Saccharomyces cerevisiae S288C: one gene and its partners. The protein of the gene in region 1 interacts with the protein of each later gene in a biochemical or structural test. Each region holds a gene or a part of one and is shown on either strand. Other genes may lie near its edges. The genes, in order: CNA1, ZRG17, ALY2 and ATC1.

Region 1 (3,991 bases):
AACAATAATTCCACTAATGGTAATAGCAACAACAGTAGTAACGGCGGATTTTCATTTTTCAAATGGAAATGGGGTGGAAATAACAGCAATGGTGGCAGTGATGACACCAAGGCTAGTCAAAGAGATCCAAATGTCAGCACGTCAATCATTACAGATAATTTGAATAGTTATATGTTTGAAGAAGAAATTAGTCCCGGCGTTGTAAACAACATAATTGAAAATAACATTTGGGTTGGAACCGACATCCGACTATTTAAGATCGCAAACTTCAGAAAAGAATCTTTTTCATTTCTGGAAATGACATCTTCTTTTTTCAAGAAATTTAAATTCATTAATAGCGATAATGACAATTATAATAATAACGAATTTGATGATAATACACAGTTAAGATATACCTCTAGAGGGTTGTATAGATAGACACAAATTTTGACAATCACAAAGAAGAAAAAAGAAACTATTTACATATTTAAACATCTACCTCATGATTATTTATGTACGAAAATTTATAATTTAGTATAATTTAGTATTTTTTGCTTCTTATACTTAGCTTTAACTTAGCTGAACGATTAGACCTTAGCAAACACAAAATATAAAAATATGAAACATAAAAAATACACATGTTGAAGAAAAGTAAAAATCTTCACGTAGCGATGCATTGCCCACCTTTTAAATCTATATTGAAGATCTCCTCTAGAAGTCCAATGTTTAATACGTAACTTTCTTGATATATATTACATATTTTGGATAACTCCACCGAGATTTATCTAATTTTGTTGCTATTTCTTACTGGAAGTGCAAAAAAGCAGCGCACTATCAATTATAATATACAGATTTTGAAGATACTAGTGCTTTCTTCTTCCTTTTGGTTGAACCAATTCAAAACCGTCTTCGTCAACAATTGGTTCAGGTTTAGACGATACTAAGTCAGGTACAACCTCGTCCATCTCTTCATCTTCATCTTCGTCATCATAGTCCTCTACATCTTCATCGTCTTCATCATCATCACCCTCAATATGCACAACTCTTTTTGATTTTTTAGTTCTCTGCTTTTCTTGCCATTCCAAATACAATTTTTCTACCTTATTATAATTTAAATTGAAACAGTCGTTATATATGTTGATGACCTCCACGGCAATCGGTAAAGCCGAGTCGTCTTCAACATTAGTTTCAAATTCATCTATCATTGCATAAAGTAACGTTTCTTCGATTAAAGCGGCGTCAACAACTTTTTCATTTTTGAAAAGGTCTACTACAATCCCTGTAATCCAGTCTCTCTTCTCAGCTGAGTCTGGACCACCCCAACTGTTTTCTACGGCAACATCCAACGCATCCCACTTATAAATAACCATGGAAACACCGAGCTCAAAACGTGCCTGTTGCTTTTCGTCAGAGAACATTAGATTGGTTTTACCTTGCTCAGCCTGAACAAATGCTGTCTCATCAATATATTGTGTGCTCATTGTTCCGTAAGGATTATCACTATAAAAATTTTTCGCAGATTTCTTTGGACTCCACCTTTCTTCCTGTTGCAATAAATACAAACTGTTTGAATCATTTTGATATTCATCTATATCTATTTCAAAATTTTTCATGTCATCGCCTCTTGAAACATGAATTTTCCAATTCTGAAAAAGAACGTACTACTGGGAAACAAAAGGGAAAAATGTATAAATCCTTTAATGTTTTTGAATCAAGAGGCATTATTATAAAAGAACGAAGCAAAGCCTTTAATATTTGCTTTATTAAAGGTATTATTCAAAGAAAAGTTTTTTTAGATTCTTTTTTTTTTGACGTATTAGCTCAGCTGCCATAAAACACTCTCAACGCCAATGTCGAAAGACTTGAATTCTTCACGCATCAAAATCATTAAACCTAATGACTCTTACATAAAGGTTGACCGGAAAAAAGATTTAACAAAATACGAATTAGAAAACGGTAAAGTAATTTCTACTAAGGACCGACCTATCGCTTCTGTACCTGCCATAACAGGAAAGATACCAAGTGATGAGGAAGTATTCGACTCCAAGACGGGATTACCTAATCATTCCTTTTTAAGAGAGCATTTCTTTCATGAGGGTCGACTTTCTAAGGAACAGGCCATAAAAATCTTAAATATGTCAACTGTAGCATTGAGTAAAGAACCCAATCTACTAAAACTCAAAGCGCCAATTACTATATGTGGTGATATTCACGGGCAGTATTATGATTTATTGAAACTGTTTGAAGTTGGCGGTGACCCCGCCGAAATCGACTATTTATTCTTGGGGGATTATGTTGATAGAGGTGCATTCTCTTTTGAGTGTCTGATTTATTTGTACTCCTTGAAGTTGAATAATTTAGGGAGATTTTGGATGCTAAGAGGTAACCATGAGTGTAAGCACTTGACCTCTTATTTTACTTTTAAGAATGAGATGTTGCACAAATACGATATGGAAGTTTACGATGCTTGCTGCAGATCATTCAATGTCTTACCATTAGCAGCTTTAATGAACGGACAATATTTTTGTGTGCATGGTGGTATCTCTCCAGAGTTAAAATCAGTAGAGGATGTTAATAAAATTAATAGATTTCGAGAAATCCCATCTCGTGGTCTCATGTGTGACCTACTATGGGCCGATCCTGTCGAAAATTATGATGATGCAAGAGATGGTAGCGAATTTGATCAGAGCGAGGATGAATTCGTACCTAACAGTTTGAGGGGTTGCTCTTTCGCCTTCACTTTTAAAGCATCATGCAAGTTTTTGAAGGCAAATGGTTTGTTATCTATTATTAGAGCACACGAAGCACAGGATGCTGGGTACAGAATGTATAAAAACAATAAAGTAACAGGCTTCCCGAGCTTAATAACCATGTTCAGTGCGCCAAACTACCTGGACACATATCATAATAAAGCTGCTGTGTTAAAATATGAAGAAAACGTCATGAACATCAGGCAGTTTCACATGTCTCCGCACCCTTACTGGTTGCCTGATTTTATGGATGTTTTCACCTGGTCACTACCTTTTGTTGGCGAAAAAGTTACTAGCATGTTAGTGTCTATATTAAACATATGTAGTGAGCAGGAACTTGACCCAGAATCGGAACCCAAAGCTGCGGAGGAGACTGTAAAGGCAAGAGCAAACGCAACTAAGGAGACCGGCACCCCATCTGATGAAAAGGCGTCATCAGCGATATTAGAAGATGAAACCCGAAGAAAGGCTTTGAGAAATAAGATATTAGCTATTGCTAAAGTTTCAAGAATGTTTTCGGTGCTAAGAGAAGAGAGCGAAAAAGTGGAATATTTGAAAACTATGAATGCCGGTGTCTTACCTCGTGGTGCTCTAGCTCGTGGGACTGAAGGTTTGAATGAAACGCTAAGCACTTTTGAAAAGGCTAGAAAGGAAGACCTTATTAATGAAAAATTACCACCATCTTTATCGGAGGTTGAACAAGAGAAGATTAAATACTACGAAAAAATATTAAAGGGAGCGGAGAAAAAGCCACAACTGTGATAAATCTCATTTTATTCTTTTTTATTCCTATGAGATGCAACATCGAATTCTTGTGCTACTGTCACGATCCGCAAGAGATAATATGAACTAACAAAATACGAAGAAAATATAGATCATTTCCAGTCTATTTCTTGATTTCCATACTTAACTGCGAGCAGAATAAATATAAACACATATTTTTTAGTTTTATTTTATTATTAATGAACCCTAGTTACCAATTAGTTATGTAAACGCTTTTCGTAAGAATGTAAGTTATGAACACCACCTTCTAGTTGAGCAGAAGCGGTTCTAAATTCAAATCTAACTTTACCGCTTTGGACATTTTCCTTTAATAAAGTTAGGGACTTGTAACCAATGTCTTGACAAGAATGTTGTAAACCGTTGTACAAATATGGAATAAATTTCTTGATAGAACCTTTGTCAACGACAGCACCGGAGACACCTTGTGCGACCAAAACACTGTCTGATTCGGAAAAGTAACGGGAGGTAGATGCATTACC
Region 2 (4,589 bases), on another chromosome or scaffold:
TATTTTCGGTGTAGGTGCATTGGTAATGAGAGGTGCTGGCTGCACCATCAACGATTTTTTGGATAGAAAGTTGGATCAAAGAGTTATCAGGTCCGTCGAGAGGCCTATCGCCTCTGGTAGAGTGAGCCCCCGTCGGGCGTTAGTATTCTTGGGGGCTCAAACTCTTGTTGGAATGGGCGTTCTATCTTTGCTTCCTGCGCAGTGTTGGTGGCTAGGCCTTGCATCGTTACCTATTGTGTTCACATACCCTTTGTTTAAGCGGTTTACGTACTATCCTCAAGCTGCATTAAGTGCATGTTTCAATTGGGGAGCGTTACTTGGGTTTCCTGCCATGGGTGTAATGAGCTGGCCTACAATGATACCTTTGTACCTGAGCAGTTACTTGTGGTGTATGACTTACGATACTATATACGCACACCAGGATAAAAAGTTTGACATCAAGGCTGGAATCAAGTCTACCGCTTTGGCTTGGGGTCCACGCACAAAGTCTATCATGAAGGCCATGTCCGCGTCTCAAATCGCACTGTTAGCTGTCGCCGGCTTGAACAGTGGGTTGTTATGGGGGCCTGGGTTCATTGGTGGACTAGGAGTCTTCGCTTATAGACTCTTCAGCATGATAAAGAAAGTGGATCTTGACAATCCTAAAAACTGCTGGAAGTATTTTAATGCAAATATCAACACCGGACTTTACTTTACGTACGCCTTGGCAGTCGACTACATCTTGAGACTGTTTGGATTCTTGTAGATATAGCGTGCATATACAAGTGTTTAATTGTTCTTTTATTCGATTATTATTTACATGCATTCTTACGTAGATGTCCGTACCTATTTGGGCTTCACGATATTCTTGATGGATGATCTAGAATTCCCCGAGTGAAATAGGGTCTTGGCAGACGTATGTGAAAGGATCTGAGTTAATATTGACCTGTTCAATAGCTTATTTTCTGCCACACTGTTGAAAAAGCAGTCCAAGATCCTGGCGTCATTCTTCACAACGCTACCAGATCTCGAGAAAATGTAAAATTTATTGAAAAATGAGGGTGCTTTTTCATCCACTGTGAAGAAAACAAAGGTGGCCTTATCCTCCATACCTTGAGAACCTACTCCTGTGAAGATCTTGGTGGCCTTATTTTTAGACAGTTCATTGATCTCCCTCGTGATAGAAACTGGTCTTCCTAACAAGTAAGTGCGTCGAGTCAATTGACACCGTGGCACCGTACTATTCTTGAGCGGTGGCAGATATTTCATTTCTGTGACTAGTCTTGACGTTACGTGTTTCGTGGCAGCAGCGAGGATCACAGGCAAAACCCCTAAAGCCACAGGCCCAAAAGTTTTGCACTTGAACCACGGGCTGTGTTTTTCTTCCTCAGTAGCGTTTCCGTACACTTCTCGAGCAGTTCTCCACGACATATCAGTGTATGCAGCGCCATATGTGAGAAACACTACAGCTAGAGCAGTTGAAGCCCATCGTATCGACCGTGGTACCTTATACTGGAACACAGGCTTTTTTCCTCCGTTACGTCCGACTTCTTCGATTAGCTGCGCTAGTGTGAAGCTGCTTCCTTTGAACTGATTCTTGGCAGCCATGTTTGTCATACCCTAGTCCACATAAGATAACTAAATGCACCTTCTTATGTTATAATGTAGCTAAAATGAGAGATGATGATCTTTATTGTTCTCGAATTTCAGCGCGGGTAACGCAACCTCAAAAAGTTTTCCACAAGTGTCCTATTGCGTAATATCAAGAATATTCATTACTGAAAATGATGAACCTTGAAGGTATTTTTGTTACTAAGAGAGAAAAAGTGAATATTTAGTGACTTGTGAGCGAGATTATAGAATAGGGAAAGAGCTATGGAGACGCCGCAAATGAACGCTATACAAGAGGAGGACAATTTGTCTCCGGAAGTTGCTTTCCAGACTCCTAAATTGAATGATTCCGATGCTTCATCGTTTTCTTTGTCCAATATGAACGCTGTCGGGAATGTAGACGGTATACCATCCCAAAACAGGACATTTTTTGCATCACCTAGGCCCAGTTCCCTATTTTATTCTGCCAAGGAAGGTAACAATTCCAGTTCTAGTATCATCTACAATCCTTCGTTCACTTTTGGTGAAAACGCTTCTAGTAATGCTAATATCAATGAAGCTGCTTTGATGAAGGGAAAAGGCAACGAAGGACGAAGGCAATCACTCAAATATATACCAGCACCAAAGCTGGTGCCGCCTCCTCCCAGAACAAGATCACCGGTAAGAGGCATTTCCCCCGATGCTGGCAGCAGTAAGAGGTCTTCTATGACCTTGGATTCTCCCTTTAATTTTACGACATCAACGCTGCAACCGCATCAACAGACACCACCCTCTTCAGCTGCATCAAGGACCTCATTTCGTAAGGGGCATCGTTATAAGCATTCCTCTGTATCCATGAATTTTTTTCAAGAGCCTGAGGTGAAAATTCCTTTGAACATTGCCAAATCTCTTCCCATTCCAGATTTCAATGATTTGCTGTCAAATTTGCCATGGCCAAAGGCTTATATTCAGTTATCTATTGCCGCTCTACAAATCTTTGCATGTCTGATTACTTTCCAAGTCGGACACCTGTACTCATGGAGTAATTTTATTACACTATCGCATTTTATTACTTACGATATCATCGGTTCGCTGGTAATCATATTTGTGGAAAATTTGTCTCAGTTCCAGGTATGGTTTACAGGCACTATCACATTTCCATTCGGGTTAAATAGAATAGACGTTCTACTAAGTTTTGCGCTTGCCGTTTCGTTATGCTTTGTTGGGCTGGACCTTTTATTCCATATAATTGAAGAATTCATAGTCCTCTTTGTAGAATCTGGTAGTTCTTTGACGAATAACCATGATCACGATGAAATTAATGAGCAAATTCCTCATTCCCACATTGCCAATGCCAATGATTCACAAAACGAGAATATTACCTTATGGTATAGCATACTAATGATCAATTTAGTGTTATCGACGTTATCACTTTATAAGACGTTTTATGCTAACAAATACAGTAATTTAAAGACGAAGAACCCGATTATTACCATCACTTATACAGCATACCTATTCATTTATCCCCTACTATTGGATCTGTTATCGAGTATATCCGATTACCTTGCTACTTTGGTTATTTCGAGTTTAATTCTATGGCATGGGCTGACTATAGCACGGTGGACCTCGACAGTGTTACTAATGGGATTTTCCACCACATCTTTATCCAATTCAGCGTTATTCAATAATAATGACAGCACTGATACGACCGCCCATACTCAACAAGTCGAGTCTAAAGCTGCTAAAGAAAAACCATCTGTACGACCAAGATCAATGAGCTCACTACCTATAGCAACAAAGAATACAAAGATACGGAAAACTGGGTTTTTGAATTCTGCAGGTTTCACTGAAAATCCAACAACCATTAAGAACATGATCAAGGACCAAATCGAGAGATTAAGTGAGTTTAAATCCAGATACATCCTAAATTACGATGATATAGTAATAAGCAAAGTGAATTTTACGCTTTATGTGGTACTGATCAAGATAACAATGAAAGGAGGCTCCGACGATGACGAATTGATGTTAAGGTTAGCCATTGACAAGTGCATTCAAACGAGCATTCCAACGTGTGAAACTACAATAGACATAGACCGAATATAATTTTACAGTTACATACCCATCAATACATACATATTAATATTACTATACTCAGGAGTTATTAGAATGAGACTAAAAAAAAAAATGTTTGAATGTTATAAATGAATGGATGCGAAGGTGGAAAGTGAGAAATTAAGCTTGTGCGGTGTTATTGTGATAGTTTTTCAAACTTTCTAGAGACGAAGTATATAGTTCAGAATCAGATTCCAATAGGGTAAAATCGAGTTCTAATGGCTGGACAGATTTACCGTCTCTATCTAGATCTTTGTTTAAGTCATCGAAAAACGTTCTTTCACCTCTACCTACTAGTAAGTTATAAGCGGAACCAAGTTCGTTAGCTCTTGCTGTTCTACCAACACGATGGACATATTGTTGAGAAGACATTGGTGGGTCATAGTTTATTACTTGAGTGATATCGTTAATATCAATACCACGGGACATGATATCGGTAGTAATTAAGATGGTAATGCCTGCGCTTTCCGAGTGATGCGAGAAGTTCGCAACAATTTTTTTATTTTCTGCTTTGGAGTTGTTTGAATTGACAGAATTAATACTCACCGCCAAATTTTGAAGGTTTTTCAATACGCTGGATTGTGAGCGAGATTCACAGATAAGTTGTAGTAACTTGCTTAATCTGATAGACGATTCATTTGATTTAACGAAAATCAAAATCTTTGCAGCAATGGGGGAATGTGCCATAAATTGGCATATTGAATACAACAATATCAATGGCTTGTAAACACTTTTCGCCGTGGGAATGTTGATGTTAAATTCATTCAATTTGTTAGGTAGCTGGTACAATTTATCGGTTTGCTTCAGGAACAACTTTGGTTTGTAAAGGTTCAAGCCGTTTAACTTTTCTGTGTTGGTAGTCAATGTCGCACTGAAGATCATTTTGATCACGTTCCCTGGAAGTGTAT
Region 3 (9,736 bases), on another chromosome or scaffold:
TAGTTATATGGTATCAGATTGGAGAGATTTAACTGCAAATTTGATGGATTCTGTGTTTATTGATAGTAGCGGGAAGAAGTCAAAAGACAAAGAACAAATAAAGGAGAAATTTAGAAAATTCAATGAAGGATTCGAAGATTTAGTATCAAAAACAAAACAGTATAAGCTTTCAGATCCATCATTGAAAGTAACTTTGAAGTCAGAAATAATATCGTTGGTTATGCCCATGTATGAAAGATTCTACAGTAGATATAAAGACTCTTTCAAGAATCCTAGAAAGCATATCAAATATACCCCTGACGAACTAACTACTGTTCTTAACCAATTAGTGAGATAGATTGCGAACATCACTTTTCAAAAAGCAAAATTAAAGAAAAGAACGTACCATAAACAGATATAAACATATATATGTATAACAATTAGAGTTTCTAATATTTTATGTTTGCTCTGGACGCCAGATGTAAGAACAGGAAGGGATGACGTAGGAACCTTGTGCTAGACTAAAGGGTACTCTCATTTATACTTTGTAATCCAGATTCATTATCTAACGTATTAATCAGTACTTTCTCGGGTGAAGAAAGTCTTGAAATAAATCTTTCCTCGGAATCAGAATTCTTAGAGCTTTCCGTTAATCCTGAGCCCTGTGTGAAAATGTCATTATTATGATCTGATTCGGCAGAATTTTGTGCATTAGCTGCATTCAAGAAATTCTCGTTACTTCCCAAAAGTGGAGAAAACTGATTGTTATCGTTATCGTTTTGTAAAGGATGCCAAGCAGAGGAATTTCTAGCGTACGGCGCAGTGATATCAATCGTAGTATCTACTGAGGGTTCAAGTAGATCAACGTATGAATCATTAGGCCTTAAAAAGGAGTCTTCATTAACTTTATTAGTCAACGTTTCCGTTTTACTCAGTAATGGTTCCATGTTCAACTTGTCCTTGCTTATATTAATTCCTGAATAGTCAAAAGAGGATCTAGCTGAGGCGGGGGTGCTCGAAGTATTTGTAGAATGTCGATTTAGTTCATTTTTATCATGATTTTTAAGTTCGTCTTCTATTAAAACTTGATTTAAATCTGTGAAAAAAGGATTATCGTGTCTTATTGTGGACGGTAAATTATCTTGAACACTTTCCCTTCTATTCAATGATCTTAATGATTCATTGCTCAGATTTCCTAAAGCTGAATGCGCAAATCCGCTATTATTTGGTGAGCTATGTAATGAAGACGATAGGCTTAATACTCTTTTTCTGTTCTTTTCGTTACTTTGATTCCCAGTGGATGTCGAGTCTTTGCTTTCCTCGCGTTGTGGGGTTGATAAACTTTTCACGTCCCTATTTTCTCTCTTTTTAGGAGTTGTCTCTCTTTTGTGTTTATTTTCTTCTATCTTTGACATCGATTCTTTTTTATTCAAAGTTTCTGAAGAATTCTTATCCGAATTTTTATTTGGATGGGAAGCTTTTAAACTTGGAGGCGTCGGATGTTTGGAATTAGGCCTCCTTTTTTGATTGTTGTCATGCAACACAGTATCCTTATAAGATGGTGGATCCCGTGGTAAGATGCTCGACTCTGATGAAGATACCTCAGTAGTAGTGGTTCCGGAAGCAGCATCAGATATGAAATCGGAAGAAAAGTCAAAATCTGGCGGAGGCACTTCCATATTTGACATTGGCGATGTTATTGGAGAGAGCGGGATTGCCTGGGGTGATGCTAATTCTCTTTGCAAACTCTCCGGTTGATATATGTTGGATTTCAACTTTGCAGAATTGAAGATGGTATTATCACTCGGATGGGATTTTGAGTTCCTATTGAATTGCCTAGAGTTTCTGGTCAATGAAGTGGAAGGTAAATGTGGGATTAAAATGTCTAATGGTTGGACATTGGGCGAAAGTACTGGAGACGAAAGGACTTCCTTGGGAAAGAAAATATTAGAGTTATGGTATAGATTTATATTGTCATCAGACGATTCCAATATTGAGGAAATTGAGGAATCTGTTTCTTTTGGAAAAGAAGCAGGATGTCCATCATAGCTCGGTAAAAGGGTATTTGCATGCGAGCACAATCTATGTAAAACATGTATTGGCGAGTCAATACTAATTTCGTAATGTTTCCTTTTATTATCTACTACTCTAGACAGTCTCAGGCAAATTTTAATCCAATGGTTTGCTTTGATGTTTTCATAAGAAGTATCTGGATGCAATTGCTGATGGTTGTTGAAACGACTCGGAATAAAAATCTGGTACTCATACTCTTTATTCACTAAATCACCATTCTTTGGATCCTGCAACAGGTTCCCCATATTCTTGGCCTTTGACAAATTTGCATCATTGGGCAAGTTCGGTAATTTAGGACCTTTCTGTTCTGTCAATAAAAATTTCTTGGTGGGCTCCATCCTATGAACCTTCTTTTCTCTACAATAATACTCCATTGTCTCTGTCACATAAATTCTTATTCTATGCAACGTAACTTTATCGAGGGGAGCGAATTTGAACGTGATAGGCAGAAAAGCATCTAAAATAATATCCTTTGATGCTATAACGATATCATAATATAATTGGTTTTCCCAATCTCTAGATATGATAATCGGCTCACTTTCTTCCACAGAATTATGAGCCTGTGTCCGTACGATATTAACCACTTGCCGGGCGCTAATGTTTGATTTAAAGGCACCAGGTCTCTCTATACTGGCAAATAAGAAGTATTCCACAAATCCGAAATCAGCTTTAATAGATTCTGGGTATGCTTGAGGAATTAGTTCTTCGAAAGCATAAATATAGTCGCCTGGTTGAAAGACAAAAAATTCTCCTCCAGACCCGCTGGTGAAGTTGTTGCTTGTCATTGCCAGATGATTGCTACTGGTGGGGATATGATGACCATGATGCGATGCTGCATCATTATGGGTAAAGGTGTTATTCAACAAGTCGGAAAAGATGGAAGTGGTCGTAGGTTTATAGTTGTGGTGAGACACGGAAGGAGACGTGGCTCTCTTCAATAAATTTATCGGGGATAGGTTTCTTGATGGTCCATTGGAAGAAGTGACTGACGAAGATCTAGATCTTTGTCTACTTTCTCTGTCTTTTACGTTGACAGAGGAATTTCCAGGTGCACCTAGAGGTGACAAGTTCAACGAGGACAAACCTGATATAGAATTTTTTCTGCTTGTTATAGTTTCATTATCAGACAGTGTTCTATAAAGAGAGGCACCACTTTCCTTCGTCAAAAAATTATTAGCTGCATTGTTGCTCTCATTAGGTGCGGAAGCATCCATCTTTTTCTTGCTCTTCTGTTCAGTTGGCGGATATAGAGCCCATGTATGGTCTACAATATCTTTGATTTCCACGAATTCTTGTCTTTTAGGAGGGATACCTTCAGGCCATTCAGTTCTAGAATATCCTTTGAACGAAAGACTTATGCTTTTCAGCTTTGTGGGTTTCAGTATTCTTACCACTAGACAGCCCCGAAGAACAACCGAGGGATATTCCGTCTTCTGAGGGTCAAAGCCTTGGAGGAAAACAACTGGTTCAGCTAAATGAATAAAAAGCTGTAATGATGAACTTTGTGCCAAGGGTGTAGCATCGAGGGGGATATCAATATCCTTTTCCATGGGAAACAATGGAGATGAGATAGATTGGTCCATGGGCATCTTGAAAAATGACTGATCTACAATGAGAAAGGCTGGAAAAAAAAAAAAGATGTTTCAACGTTAAAAAAATAAAGGACTAACGGTAATGAATAGCGAAGTCTACAGACTAATTTGCCCTTTTTAGTCTCTCTCAATACTCACAGACTGCTTGTAGCGTAATTAGTACCTATTCTTAAAAGACGAAAAGGAGAACTAGCCAAGTCTTTTTTTTTTCCCAAATTGGACCATATCGGATTAAATTTCTTTTTTCCGAAACTGCAAATCCTCCAGAGAATGTTTTAATAAAGGAAAACCAATGAAAGACATTTAGCAGAATAACAAAGCAAAAAGAAATGACAGTGAAGAGTGATAGGTGAAGGCGTTGAGAAATGAGAGTTGTTGCCATGGAGGAATGGGTACTGAACCCTCTCACAGAGGCGTCACTAATTTAAAAAAGGAAAAAGGTGTTATATGTATTGGGGAAAGGAGCGATGAATTTTTGGGTGATGAATGAAACAGTGGGATGAGATGAACTACAGCAATATGGTTTGGTCTTAACGGCTGTCATGACAAACTATTGATCAGGGCCAGTATTTGTATCATTATTGTTATAATTGAGAATGAAGAAAGGTTAGCCGCTGAGAGAACCTTCTTCAAATTATGTTTTTTTTGCTTTTTTTCTTTTTGGGACGGCGCGCGATAGATGGCGCAAGGGAGTTGCTCTCCGTTCGACATCAATAAATTGGTTATAAAGTGACGTATTTGGTTCCTTTTTAGTAATTGATGAAGAGTGCGGGATGGCCTATACAAGGAAGAGTCGATTTAGTGCCGGAGAATACACGCCCTGACGTTTGTATAAATGCATTTCCCCAAAAAAAAGCATTCCGGAAATCTCTCCGTGGTGGAATTGCCGAAGGAAGCTCTCCAAGATTCTTTAACTGCTGCTCAGATTACTTTCAAGAGATATGCCCACCCCAATGGCAATGCCGGTAGCGCAGAGAGGCCGAGACATCTAAAGGTGGAATCTGCGCCTGTCGTGAAATCTGAGCCTTCTTTGCCGAGGATGAGACAACCGGAACCGAGAAGTATAAATCATCAATACTCTAGGGAAACGCTTCCAGGCCATTCTGAAGCCTTTTCCGTACCGACGACTCCTCTGCAGACAATCCATTATGATGTAAGGAATAAAGCGTCAAATTCGCCAAGTAGTATAGCAGCTGCAGAGACAGCTGCATACCTAGCCCACACAAATTCATTTAGTAACAGATCATCCGGTGTCGGCAGCCGGGATCCAGTTATGGATACTGAAACAAAACCGCCACGTGCTCCTTCAGCCTTGAAAAATGAGCTGCAATTGAACAGAATGAGGATACCTCCGCCGTCATATGATAATAATGTTCGTTCACGATCTATTTCGCCACAAGTATCCTACTCTACCTCGCTGTCATCATCGTGTTCCATAAGTTCCGATGGAGAAGAAACTTCTTATAGAGAAAAAAGCACCGATGAGGCATTTCCTCCTGAACCTTCCATGTCTTCTTATAGTCTTGCGTCCAAAGCCTCAGCAAAGGCTTCTCTAACGGACCCCTCACAGCGGCAGCAAGAGTCAGACTATACGGCAATGAATAAACTCAATGGAGGAAATATAATATATAAAGGCACTTTACCCGACCTAATACCGCGAAGCCAAAGGAAGACAAGTAAACCCAGGTTCAAGCACAGGCTTTTACGATCACCTGAGCAGCAGCAAGAAAACTTATCACGTGTGTATTCGGACCAAACGCAGAATGGTAGGGCAATCATAAACACGCAGCAAAATGTAAAGTTAAAGACAACTATGAGGCGCGGGAAGTACGCAATTACAGACAATGATGAAACTTTTCCCTACGACAGAAAGTCTGTATCATCAGACTCAGACACAGATGAAGATTCTAATGTGATGGAAATCAAGGACAAGAAGAAGAAAAGTCGTCGCTCTAAGATAAAGAAGGGGTTGAAAACAACAGCAGCTGTAGTTGGGAGTAGTACCTCTGTCCTTCCGTTCCCTCATCACCATCATCATCACCATCAGCTCCATAACCCGAATTCTCATCACTTACACACGCACCATCATACAAGTTCTCACAAATTCAATGAAGATAAACCGTGGAAATCTCATAGAGATCTCGGGTTTATTACCGAACAAGAAAGAAAAAGATACGAGTCTATGTGGGTATCAAACAGATACTCGTATTTGCGCTTGCTGCCGTGGTGGCCCTCTCTCGCGAATGAAGACGACGAGTCTCACTTACAGCCCTTAAATTTACCGCAAGACGGCCTGATGCTTAACTTAGTCGTAAAAGATATATGGTATCGATCAAACCTACCCAGGGATCTTCTAGTGCAAATATACAATATGGTCGACACAAGAAAAGACGGTACCTTAGACAGAAAATCGTTTATAGTGGGCATGTGGCTGGTTGATCAATGTCTCTATGGCCGAAAGCTAACGAATGAGCTGGACCAGAGAGTTTGGAATAGCGTTGACGGCTATGTTCTCGGTACAATTAACGTGAAGCCTGCCACTTCCGATCACTATCACAACGCTAATAACCCTCTAGATAAGCCATCAAAGCTTTCAGTCCGACAGGAATTGAAAAACATCAAACGCGATCTCAGAAATGTCAGAATATGATGCCTGGCATTATTTGCAGAAGTTCTCTTCCTGTGTTAATAATGAATGACGATGAGTTAACAATGACCCTTATGTATACAACGAAAGGACGAATGAAAGAAATGAAAATATTATCTTTTTTTTTTTTTTTCTCAATTTTCCTTCACTTTTAGAAGTTTTTCCGTTCCGCGGATTTTGTTCGTCGGACCTTTTGCTTTATTTGTCTCCAGATCTCTCGAGCATAATGGTCGTTTTTCATTTCATGCTTATAGTCTTTGTCTTTCCAGCGGTACCCCCACCCCCTATCTTGGGCTATTTTCTAATTTCGTCCCTCGGATTATTTAATTCATATTCTCCCCACCTTTGTATTACTAAATTTATTTTCCAATGCTCTTTTCACTCATTCTTCCTTTTGCATATTTCTATCAGTATATATAGCGAATTGTATATATAAGCGTCTTGTTACCGGTATAGGAATTACCTGATAGAAAGAAATAGAACATAATAGGAGGAAGGGCAAACAGTGCGCCAAAACGAAAGATAGTAGAAGATGTTTAGAGTATTTGGTTCATTTGGATCAAAGGGTAATCAATCTTCTGGTGAAGAGCAATCAACAAAGACAAAACAGGTTCTGAAGCAGGCTAATGACTTTGAGATCGCCTTAAAGGCAATGGATTTTGTCCTTGATGATAGAACGGATGAAGGGTTGAATTTGCTGAAAAAAGCTGAAATGGAAACTGGTTCAGATCAAACTATCTTGACTTTGGCAAGAGGTGTTATTGAATTTCTTCAAGCCACTTTGAGTTTTGAAACTGAAGAAATGAAAAGAGCTGCAATTACTTTAGGCAAAGCTGAGCAAATGTCCTGGAAAAGTAAGCAAAATGCTGAAAAGACCAATTTTAGGAGCAGTTCAATATATCCTCCCGGTACTGTCTATGCTGTAACATATACTGAGTCATGTCTGTTGCATGCCTTGTTGATGTTATTTAGTGAAAGCATGATGGAAGCAGCCAAGGCTTTGCTAAAGTTAAGGAGGGCTTATACAATGTTACAAGATATCATGGTTACTGTCAAAAAAGCTGAACGATCGAAAAATTCGAGCTCTCCCTCTCCAAGCGAAAAGAGCCAAGAGTCATGCGGAAGTTTTGTTTCTGCAGAGACAACTTTCATATCGGTTGATATACCATACAAATTGTCTTCCGAGGACAAGTCCAATCCACTCCTATTGGAATTTGCTGAAAAAATCTACACGATGAGAATGGGAAGGTTATCAGGTGCCCATATTGGCAATACTCCATCTTTTCATAGGTTAAGGGATGATTTGGGTTTACAGACGACTCCGTCTCAAGCTTCCGACCGCCATTCTGTTTCAGATGATTTCGATTTAGAACAGGCTACCATCGACGAATTCATCCATTCAGGTGCTAATTTATGCTATGGTATCTTGCAAGTCGTCTTATCCTTACTTCCACCTGCAATCGGTGCTGTGCTATCTATTGTTGGATTCAAGGGATCCCGTGAAGAAGGTTTGAGGCTAGTTTGGAAGGCTACAAAGGAGAGAAATGTTCACGGGTGTATAGGTTTGTTAGGTCTGATGTTTTATTACGACGGTCCTTTCCAATTTACAGATGCTGACTTTGATATACCACCAAACGATAATGGATCGAGGGCTTTAAACAAAAGCAGAACAAACGATAGTAGCCTTTTACCAGGTTATATGGACAGTGCAACCTTATTGCATCCTGGAAAAATTCTGGAGGACGCATTACTAAAAGCAAGAGCACTTTTTCCTAATAGTGCCCTGTGGCTGCTAAATGAGGCCAAAATGCTTGCTGGAAAGGGCAGGCTTCGTGATTCTCTGGCCCTAATGGACTCTATTGATGTCAATAGTATCCGTATGAGACAAGTGAAATCGTTGATGGTGTTTGAACGTGCGATCCTTTTAGTCAACTTACACGAATACAACAGAGCTGCCGATGATTTAATAAGTTTGCTTGATATTAGTGATTGGTCTCACGCATTGTACACTTATTTTGCGGGTTGCTGTTACTTGGAAAATTGGAGGATGACACAATTAGGCTTATTAAATGACGGTAAAGAACAATTCTATAAAGAGCGGGCTCGAGAACTCATATTTGACGCTCCATCTTTGTTAGGTAAGAAAACGTTCAAATCCAAAAATCTTCCATTGGATAGATTCATGCTTAGAAAAGTTCAACAATTTAATAATATGCAGAAGAAATTAAACCTACAAGAACCACTAGACTCAATAGCAACATCACCTGTCCATGAACTGGCTTATTTCTACAACGGTTACAACAGGATGACTGAAAACGATTTAATTTTGACCAAAAAGATGTTGACAGAGTATCACAACCCCGCCATTGATTCGGAAGACCCAGATCAAGAGCTGATCAGAAACTTACTACTATCCTTGACCTTAAGAAGATTGGGGGATGCTGAAAGAGGTTTAGCCTTGTTAGATGACATTGTTCTGCCAAAAATATTCTACATTCAAAATGGCAAAGTCAAATATTTCAAAAAAACCGAAGACCCATGGGCATATCCAGCCGCTCTTTATGAGAGAGCTTTATTCTGTTGGAAACTGGGTGGCATGGAAAGTTTGAATGAATGTAGGGAATGGCTGCTAAGAGCCCAAAATTATGCCGCCGATTACGAATTGAGTACGCGTATCGGTATGAAGATCAAAGCCGCCCTTGATAGAGTTGAAAACGCGCTTGCTTAACCTTTTGCTTCTTCCGCCCCAACATTTTAGAAGTATGCATTTTTTTTTTTCTTTCGACTACTTACCTTCCCTTGCTAGCAGTTATTACAACCATCATTTTTTCGTGACGTTTCATAGTTTTTTTATATTTTTACGCAATGGGTTTCCCGAGTAGTTAGTTCTACGGTGTCGATATATATAGTGTTATGATTTTAAAAATGAACATATTTAAATTTTTGAACCTCCTTCTTAGTTATAGGCCAAGTTCATTACTCCCTAGGAAACAAAACCGGTCCATCGTAGAAATTTTTTTTATTTTACAAAAGGGTTATAGTAGAATCAAGACAATTTATTTATCACTGAGATATTGATCGAGTAGATGAATGGTCGCTCAAACTGCTAAACTGAAAGGCGACTTGTCATTCAACAACGTTTTCTATTCCTATCTAAACCTATCGTTAAGCAATCTTTCGACGCCCACCTCTTCGTATTCCTTTTTCCCAACCCACAGTTGGTGAAATGTTCCCAGACTTGTAAGTATACTACCGCCAAGCCATGACTGGTATTGCCTTTCGATAGTGTGCCCTGTTGTTAATATTCTAAATTTAAGGGATGGTAGTATTTTGTTTAGTTCTGTCATTAACCTATCACTTAATCCAGGAATAGAGGATGTACCGCCTGTAAGGACAACATTATGAGCTAGTGTCGCTCTTAGATCCACATCACTGCTCATTATAG
Region 4 (7,195 bases), on another chromosome or scaffold:
TCAAGTGGTTTTCTACTTTCCTGAACGCAGAACTGCTTAATTTAAAAATCATTAATTGGCAGAATATTGGTTCTTTCACTAAGACAATCCAGAACTCCAAGTCACTCCCGTTCAAAGAGTACTACACCAAGTTGAACGAGAAATTCACCGGCTCAAACCAGAGCAATGGTAGCATGCAAGACCAGACTGTCTTGGATTCCATAGTTATTGTCACGAATAGCACGGGGGTAAAAGCACTGCTGACTTTGTTGTCAGACCACCCTCTCACCAGCCTTATCTCCCAGGAATCAATAAAAGCGCTACATGAATATTCAGATGCTGTTAACGAAGATAAGGGCGACGACCAGAGCAACACAAGTTTGAAAAGAAACTCTTCGTCGTTGTTGAATTTTCAAAACTCGGTTTTAACCTCCAATAAAGACAAGTCCGTCAGAATTAGGTCGTTGTCTATCAACAGAAAATCCAACAGGGCACATATGTTCAAAACGAACGAATCCATCACAACTATCCCATCAACGTCAATCAACAATCTTATTGGTCAGGAATCCAACCTACGCAAGCAGCCTTCGGGAACTGCACTGCATTTACAATCGCATCTGCATCCACATTCCCGTTCACAATCCTATTCTAGTTCTAATATGTCCAGATCGCCTTCTCCCTTCCCCTACGGAAAGACACCATCAAACGACGAACTAGTATATGACGAGTTAAACAACCAAATCAACGAAGTGCAAGACCGTGCTAAGAATGAGGAAATTGTCCTGTACAACAATAATAATTATGACGATTATACAAAAGAACGAGGGGAACAAGAGCAGGATAGAACCTCATACGCAGATGAATATGGCTTTAATTACGATGATGAAGAAGGTGGAAATGAAGACAACTATGATGATGATGAAGACGATGATGACGATGATGACGATGACGATGAGAGTGACGATGAAGGTTTGAGCTTTTACGCTCCAAGCATTTTGTCCCGCTCTGGTTCGAGCACAGACGTGTTATCCTCCGGAATAGATTCTATGGCAAAAAATTCGAAGGAAACAAGGGGTAGGTTTAGGTCCTTGAGTTTAATGGACCCTGCTCTGCAAAAGCCGTTCAACCAGAAATTTCCAAACAGCCAACAACCCGATTCTGCAGGGGCTTCATCACCTAAAAGATCGACCTCTTCAAACCATTTTACTAACGTCTACGTGCACGATGGTGATTTTGACGGGACAGACACTATCAACAACAAAAAGAATCTATCGTCTGCAACGCTTATTAAAAGGAAATCTTTGATGAACAGAAACTTGGCTCCTTCTATTAGTAATGGATTGATACCTCCGGAATTTATTTCCCGAATATCTACGCCCTCTACAAGCGCAAGTAGTTCAAACTCCTCGTTGAATGACATGTCTACAGTATCAAACGCATTTTCCAAATTATTAAATGACACAAGTAAGAAGCAAAAATTCTTGAATTCACCAATTCCACAACATACACAACAGGCATCTCCATTACTAATGAGAAATAATTCAAACAGTAACTTGCTATTTGAGAAGAATTTGATCAACAAGTCATTTGAAGAACTGAGAAGACAACCATCAGTTAACCTTTTTAGCACCTTGATGAATGGTAACATGGAAAAGAATGGTTTGGCACTAAACTTCAAGTCCAGAACGCCTACAGATGCGTTGATGGCGAATAGCATTAAAAATAGTAACAATTCCAGTCATAGGTTACTAAATCTCGAGGAAGAAGACCAAATCATGTCTGGATCTCTCCCCAAAGAACGCGAGGACGATAACGATTCGACTAATAGCACAATAGTACCGAATCACCCAGACAATGATAACTATAATGATAATGATAACGACAATAATACTGGTATAAATTCCAATAATTTCAATCTAAATCTCTATGATGACAATGATAGTGCAGGCTTTACAGATGTAACAACTGAAGGAGTGAAATACTCAAACTCGAATTCTACAGTCACCAAACCCGTTTATAAAAAAGCCGTCACCCTGGATTTATACGGCGAAGATGATATGGATAACATGGGAGGATGGGTATTAGGAGGTAATGCCCGGTAAAATAATCACCTGAAAAAAACTAGGTTAAGCACAAGGCAAGGGAAAAAGCCAAATTACACATATACTTGATTATAAATAGATTAGTAAAACATATATTCTAAATTAAAACAGCACTTTAACCGATATTGTATTTTTTTTTTTGGGTTTACGTGATACTGCGTAAATCTTCAATTTTCAGGGCTTTGTCCGCAAGGGGCCCGTTTATTTATCAAAAAAAGTAATGAGATTTTCGAAGAAAGTTCATAAACCTATAGATCTTGTTACATTTGGCAAGAAAACAATAAGTGGGATCTGCGGTCCAAGCAACGCATTTTCTTTTCTCTAATCGACAAGTTCAAGTAAATATTTCTATTAGTCATATATCTCTCGAGCTTATATATTAATAATGAAATCATTTCAAAAATCTTATGAATTCGATTACCCATGGGAGAAAGTCACCACGGCGAACTGGATGAAATATCCAAACAAGATCTCCACACACGTTATTGCAGTCGATGTGCTCCGCCGAGAGCTCAAAGAACATGGCGATGTACTTCTTACAGAACGGCTGATAACCATACGTCAGAACACCCCTCACTGGATGTCCATTTTAGTGGGGAACACTAATTTAGCATACGTGCGAGAGGTCTCCACCGTTGATCGAAGGGACAGATCTTTAACTATGAGGAGTTGCAATATGACCTTCCCGCATATTTTGAAGTGTTACGAAACCGTACGTTATGTTCCTCATCCGAAAAATCCATCGAATGTGACTCTTTTCAAGCAGGATGCAAAGTTTCTGTCTGGTGTTCCGACCAAAACCTTTAGTGAGAAAGTAGAAAACTGGGGCGTTAAACGTTTTAGTGATAACGCGGTGAAGGGGAAAGTCGGGTTTGATAGTATTCTAGCAATGTTCAACGATATCTGGAAAAATGCTAACGAATAAAAAAAAATACATCTTTTCTCAAGCATTTTTTCTCAAGCATTTTTTCTCAAAAAAATAAGGATTTATAGCCTCTTTGCATATAACTACACTCAGAAACTCAAAAATAAGTGAATAGATTAATTTGCCAAAATAGTTTCTATAGCGTGTCTTTCTCTTTTTGCAAACTCGTGTCATCTTGATATAAATCAAATATTTTCTGTCATTTTTTTTTCTCTTTTTTTTCAGTTTCTAGAATTTTTTTTTTCCACTTTAGCGATGAGATGAAAAATTTCCAAAAAACATGCGGTACGGTATTTTCAATGAAAAATTTCAGAGGGCTAGTGCCCTATTGAAGAGCTCAATACTTGATTGAAGTTTTGACATCTTAAATTTTGTTGGTTCAAGTTACACTAAGGTTGTGATAGGGAAAACGTGAAGATAATGAACACGAATCAGTCCAATCCGAATACAGATTTAACAGATGATGCCAATATAGAACATACGTTGCATCGGCTGCTCACTCAGGCAAATAATCATTTTGATGATACAGTAAAGATTGATGGGCAGAGTTTAGATTTGGGAAAGGATCTCGAACAAGTTATGATGGATAATTTAGACTGCACTGATATTTTTGATTCCGACATCGCTTCTCAGAAACACCTAACATTGGAATCTTTATTTAACGATGAACACAACACCGATTCGAGCACACTTTTGGAAATGCAGAGAAGTGCTAATGATAGCCTAGTTGGTATTGATCTCGATAGGCATAAAAAGGGTTATACTGGCAAGGCATCATTAGATAAAAGTACAAACCAAAATAACGTACATAAACCTGATAAAGAACAAAAGAACTATAAGATAGATAAACCCACCATCAAGAAGAAAAAATCCCTTTTGAAAACCACAAATGAACCCATGTTATCCCCTGCATCCCTATCACCTTCATCTTCGTTAGCTTCATCCGACGCTAATGAATCCCACCTAAAAATAGAATCCATGATTACTGATATAACATCTAAAATAGATTCTGCAAGACAAGACATTGTATCTGCAACGAAGCCTGCTAAGTTCACAAATGAGTTTACAATAAGTCAAATTTCGGAAATGAAGGCAAGAATAATTAATACTCATAAATTGCTGCTCAATTTCAATTTTATTAAAGAAGGTTACGCGAGATCTTGTATTCAATTGAAAAAATCTATGGACTCTTTAAAGGATAGTGAAATTCACAGAGCACATTTATTGGTTGAGAATGATGACTTGAAGCAACAAATCCTAGAACTTACTCAAAAACTCAATGAAAAATCATCCAAGGAAAGTTAAATTTAGAGTTAGTTCTGCTAAGTTTATCTGCATTTATTGGTTTTTTTGTCTTTACTACAAAGATGGTCCAATTTTATATACAATATACACTACCTTTCTCAGTCATCGTTATTCGTACTCAACTTTTATTATTTTAAGGAACACAGTCGCATTTTTGAGTTTCATGTATAAACATTACTATACGCATATTTCGTATTTAACTTTCTATAAATCCCCCAAAACGTTTTATTAAATTTTCAACGGTACGCTCGAATAACCGATTTAGTTTGAACAGGAGGAACCATTTTCGCTCATGCGTATGGCTTAAAAGACCATCGAGTCATTTTTAGTAGGGAGGTAATGGTTATTTAGTTATATATCTAAATCACTATCACTTTCACTTCTATCATGATTTGTAGAAGCGAAGCGTTCCGTATTCACAGATGAATGCTTTCTTATTTCGAATGTGTCTTCTATAACACCTGAATGGGCTAAAGATTGCTCTAGCCTCCTAATATCAAACCCATTAGGGTCATTTCCCAGTTTACTAAATCCTACGTAGCGAACTTTTTCTAGGCCATTCTTGTATCCAACTACAAACGGAAGTACTTTAATATTCAGTTTATTAACCAAAAATGGACATGTTTGGACGTTTACTTTAATAAATCTCGTGGTTAGATACCTCTTTGCCAAGTTTTCCAGTTTTTCATTCATATACTGGCACTTACCGAATGTTTCTAATTCAAAATGTATGACCACCATAGTAGTCTTTGTACATATTTGGATAGCATCTGCCTCGTTATCAATGCACTGCAATCTACCGTATCCGTCATCCTCAACATTCTTCTTGACCTGTTTTAAATGATCTGATATTTGTTGTAGCCTCTCCGACCGATAAGCACTCAAAAATTCATGATCCTCGTCTAATTCTCTATCCAATTCATTAAGTAGTTCATCTAAATTTTCCTCGCCACTACTTTTGTCATCGCTATCGACAGTTGTGTGTTTATCCTTTTCAGCATTTGAAAGCACATTTGTGTAGTATCTGTCTAATTTATCTTCCATATTAATTTAATCTTCATATACGTATGAGTTGTTAAGAGAATGGAGTATTTTCGTTAATCTTTTGTACTTCATCCTACTTTCGTGTTTTTTAAACTCTAAAAATTACACTACTATGATCACTATATTGCTATGGAATAATAAAAAGCAAAAACGAAAGATTGAAAGGAAAGTCGTCCTTTTGTATCCATCTTTTAAACAAAGCTTACAAAGAAATTTGCCGTCATGACTTGCTAAATTTGATATAAAACTAAAGGAACCAACAACTTACCTAGGTGTTCTTTTTTGTCCCCGTATAGTGAAGTAATTGGTGTTACGCCCAGTCCTGCAGTTTTAGCTTGGACCACAAAACATAATGCAAATCCAGTAGAGGTTATGCAAACTGTTTGGTGAGCATAGTAATACCACACCCGGTATAATTTATATCTCTTGTTCATTGTCTGTATATAAGGTGTATTCGCATATATTAAATAGCCAGACGTTTCCCTTCAAAGCATTTTGATCCTGGAAGAGAATAGCAGTAATTCTGTCTAGACTACAGTATAAAAATAAATAAAAATGGGCATCACAGAAACAAAAAGGACAATTGCATTAACTAGAAATTGTTTGATCGAACGCGTATCATTCACAGCGTATTTACTATGTGTCAATGATTTTTTGGATTTCGATTTGGAAATACTTGTAGGTAATGGCAAATCTGAGGTGTTACCATCAGGTCGTGTAAATACTCTGTTCATTATGGTTGCTACGCGATTATTAAAAGATTTTGGGAAAAAATGCATGTATGCGATAAAGGCAGCAGAGAATAATAATCCCCATAGGTACATTCTGATTGCCTTATAGGGATCTGGCATATAGCATAGCTCTGTTTGGTAAGTTTTTGATGCATACTCTCCGCCGGCATTTACCATTGTCAAATCTGAAGGATTATATAAGGAGAGCAATTGAATAGCAGGCCTACTGATCCCCATGTTCATTGCACATGACTTTACTGTAATTTCTTGAGCATTTTTAGTTTTCCCCTGAAACGGATATGAGTGTGATATCTGACAATGGTCATGATCATCCCCGGAAAATAATATTTCTGGTTGAATTTTCGTTAAAATTTCTTGTGATATATCGTTTTCTATAACTGTCTGGTACTGGTGCCCTTTCTGAATAGGAAAAGGTTCTTTGGATTCACGTAGCTGACCGCACGTTTGCTGTTCTGGATCCCTCCATAATGGAACGTGAGTTAAAAGAATTCTAGGAAGCGGATGTGAACCCATTGCAAAATTATCCAAAAACTGTCTAGGAACCCTCGAGACATTCGGATTTGTTTTATCAGAAAGCGAAATTGTATCTAAAAGTACAAAGGTATGATTTCCAGCGTCTAATGAGGAGGAAGTTTCTCCAAAGTAACTAGAAAATCTCTGTAAACTCGATTCAACAACTGTGTCTCCAAAACCAATATCGTGATTACCTGGTAAAGACATGACCGTTCTTCTCAGTGGCTTCTTGGGGAATATTTGGTTGAATCGTGTGTACTCTTTAATCCATTGCTTATCATCCCAGTTTCTCCCTCCATCAAATAGATCACCTAGGAAAAAATTGCTATCAGGATCCAAGTAATACTGGACATATTTCCAATTTCTCCTGTGATAATGGTCAACAATCACTCTTGTAAAATAATTAACTATTTGAGGCCTCCCAGGATATGAATATTCGTCCATTATTTGTGGGTCTGCAAATAAACCCACCCTATGACTTTCAGCGCCTTCAGGCCAATCCTCCCAAGTCGACCATTGGCACTTCTTCATTGCTCTCTTCACAACCACTGATTCATAATAAGATATTAATCCTA

What was found.
Region 2: the proteins of CNA1 (region 1) and ZRG17 form a complex in vitro, tested with the Saccharomyces cerevisiae proteins (one study listed by BioGRID).
Region 3: of the proteins of CNA1 (region 1) and ALY2, one has a biochemical effect on the other in vitro, tested with the Saccharomyces cerevisiae proteins (one study listed by BioGRID).
Region 4: of the proteins of CNA1 (region 1) and ATC1, one has a biochemical effect on the other in vitro, tested with the Saccharomyces cerevisiae proteins (one study listed by BioGRID).

Annotation. Positions count from the first base shown.
Region 1 is NC_001144.5:1,003,847-1,007,837, reverse strand, and holds CNA1 (calcineurin catalytic subunit A), read left to right. Parts: upstream 1-1,829; coding exon 1,830-3,491; downstream 3,492-3,991. Other genes in the region: ECM30 (Ecm30p), read left to right, coding at 1-417; TSR2 (Tsr2p), read right to left, coding at 843-1,460; IMP dehydrogenase IMD3, read right to left, coding at 3,710-3,991. UniProt on the Saccharomyces cerevisiae protein: Calcium-dependent, calmodulin-stimulated protein phosphatase. This subunit may have a role in the calmodulin activation of calcineurin.
Region 2 is NC_001146.8:696,697-701,285, reverse strand, and holds ZRG17 (Zn(2+) transporter ZRG17), read left to right. Parts: upstream 1-1,854; coding exon 1,855-3,672; downstream 3,673-4,589. Other genes in the region: COQ2 (4-hydroxybenzoate octaprenyltransferase), read left to right, coding at 1-745; MRX15 (Mrx15p), read right to left, coding at 826-1,596; putative ATP-dependent RNA helicase DBP6, read right to left, coding at 3,802-4,589.
Region 3 is NC_001142.9:274,362-284,097, forward strand, and holds ALY2 (Aly2p), read right to left. Parts: upstream 3,642-9,736; coding exon 501-3,641; downstream 1-500. Other genes in the region: GTP-Rho binding exocyst subunit EXO70, read left to right, coding at 1-337; TAX4 (Tax4p), read left to right, coding at 4,480-6,294; IML2 (Iml2p), read left to right, coding at 6,824-9,019; ARP4 (Arp4p), read right to left, coding at 9,441-9,736. UniProt on the Saccharomyces cerevisiae protein: May regulate endocytosis by recruiting RSP5 ubiquitin ligase activity to specific plasma membrane proteins in response to extracellular stimuli.
Region 4 is NC_001136.10:827,745-834,939, reverse strand, and holds ATC1 (Atc1p), read left to right. Parts: upstream 1-3,426; coding exon 3,427-4,311; downstream 4,312-7,195. Other genes in the region: SND1 (Snd1p), read left to right, coding at 1-2,081; UPS3 (Ups3p), read left to right, coding at 2,467-3,006; PLP1 (Plp1p), read right to left, coding at 4,663-5,355; YDR182W-A (uncharacterized protein), read right to left, coding at 5,586-5,789; putative lipid phosphatase CDC1, read right to left, coding at 5,883-7,195. UniProt on the Saccharomyces cerevisiae protein: Involved in cation homeostasis and in the regulation of the cation stress signaling cascades. Also involved in bipolar budding.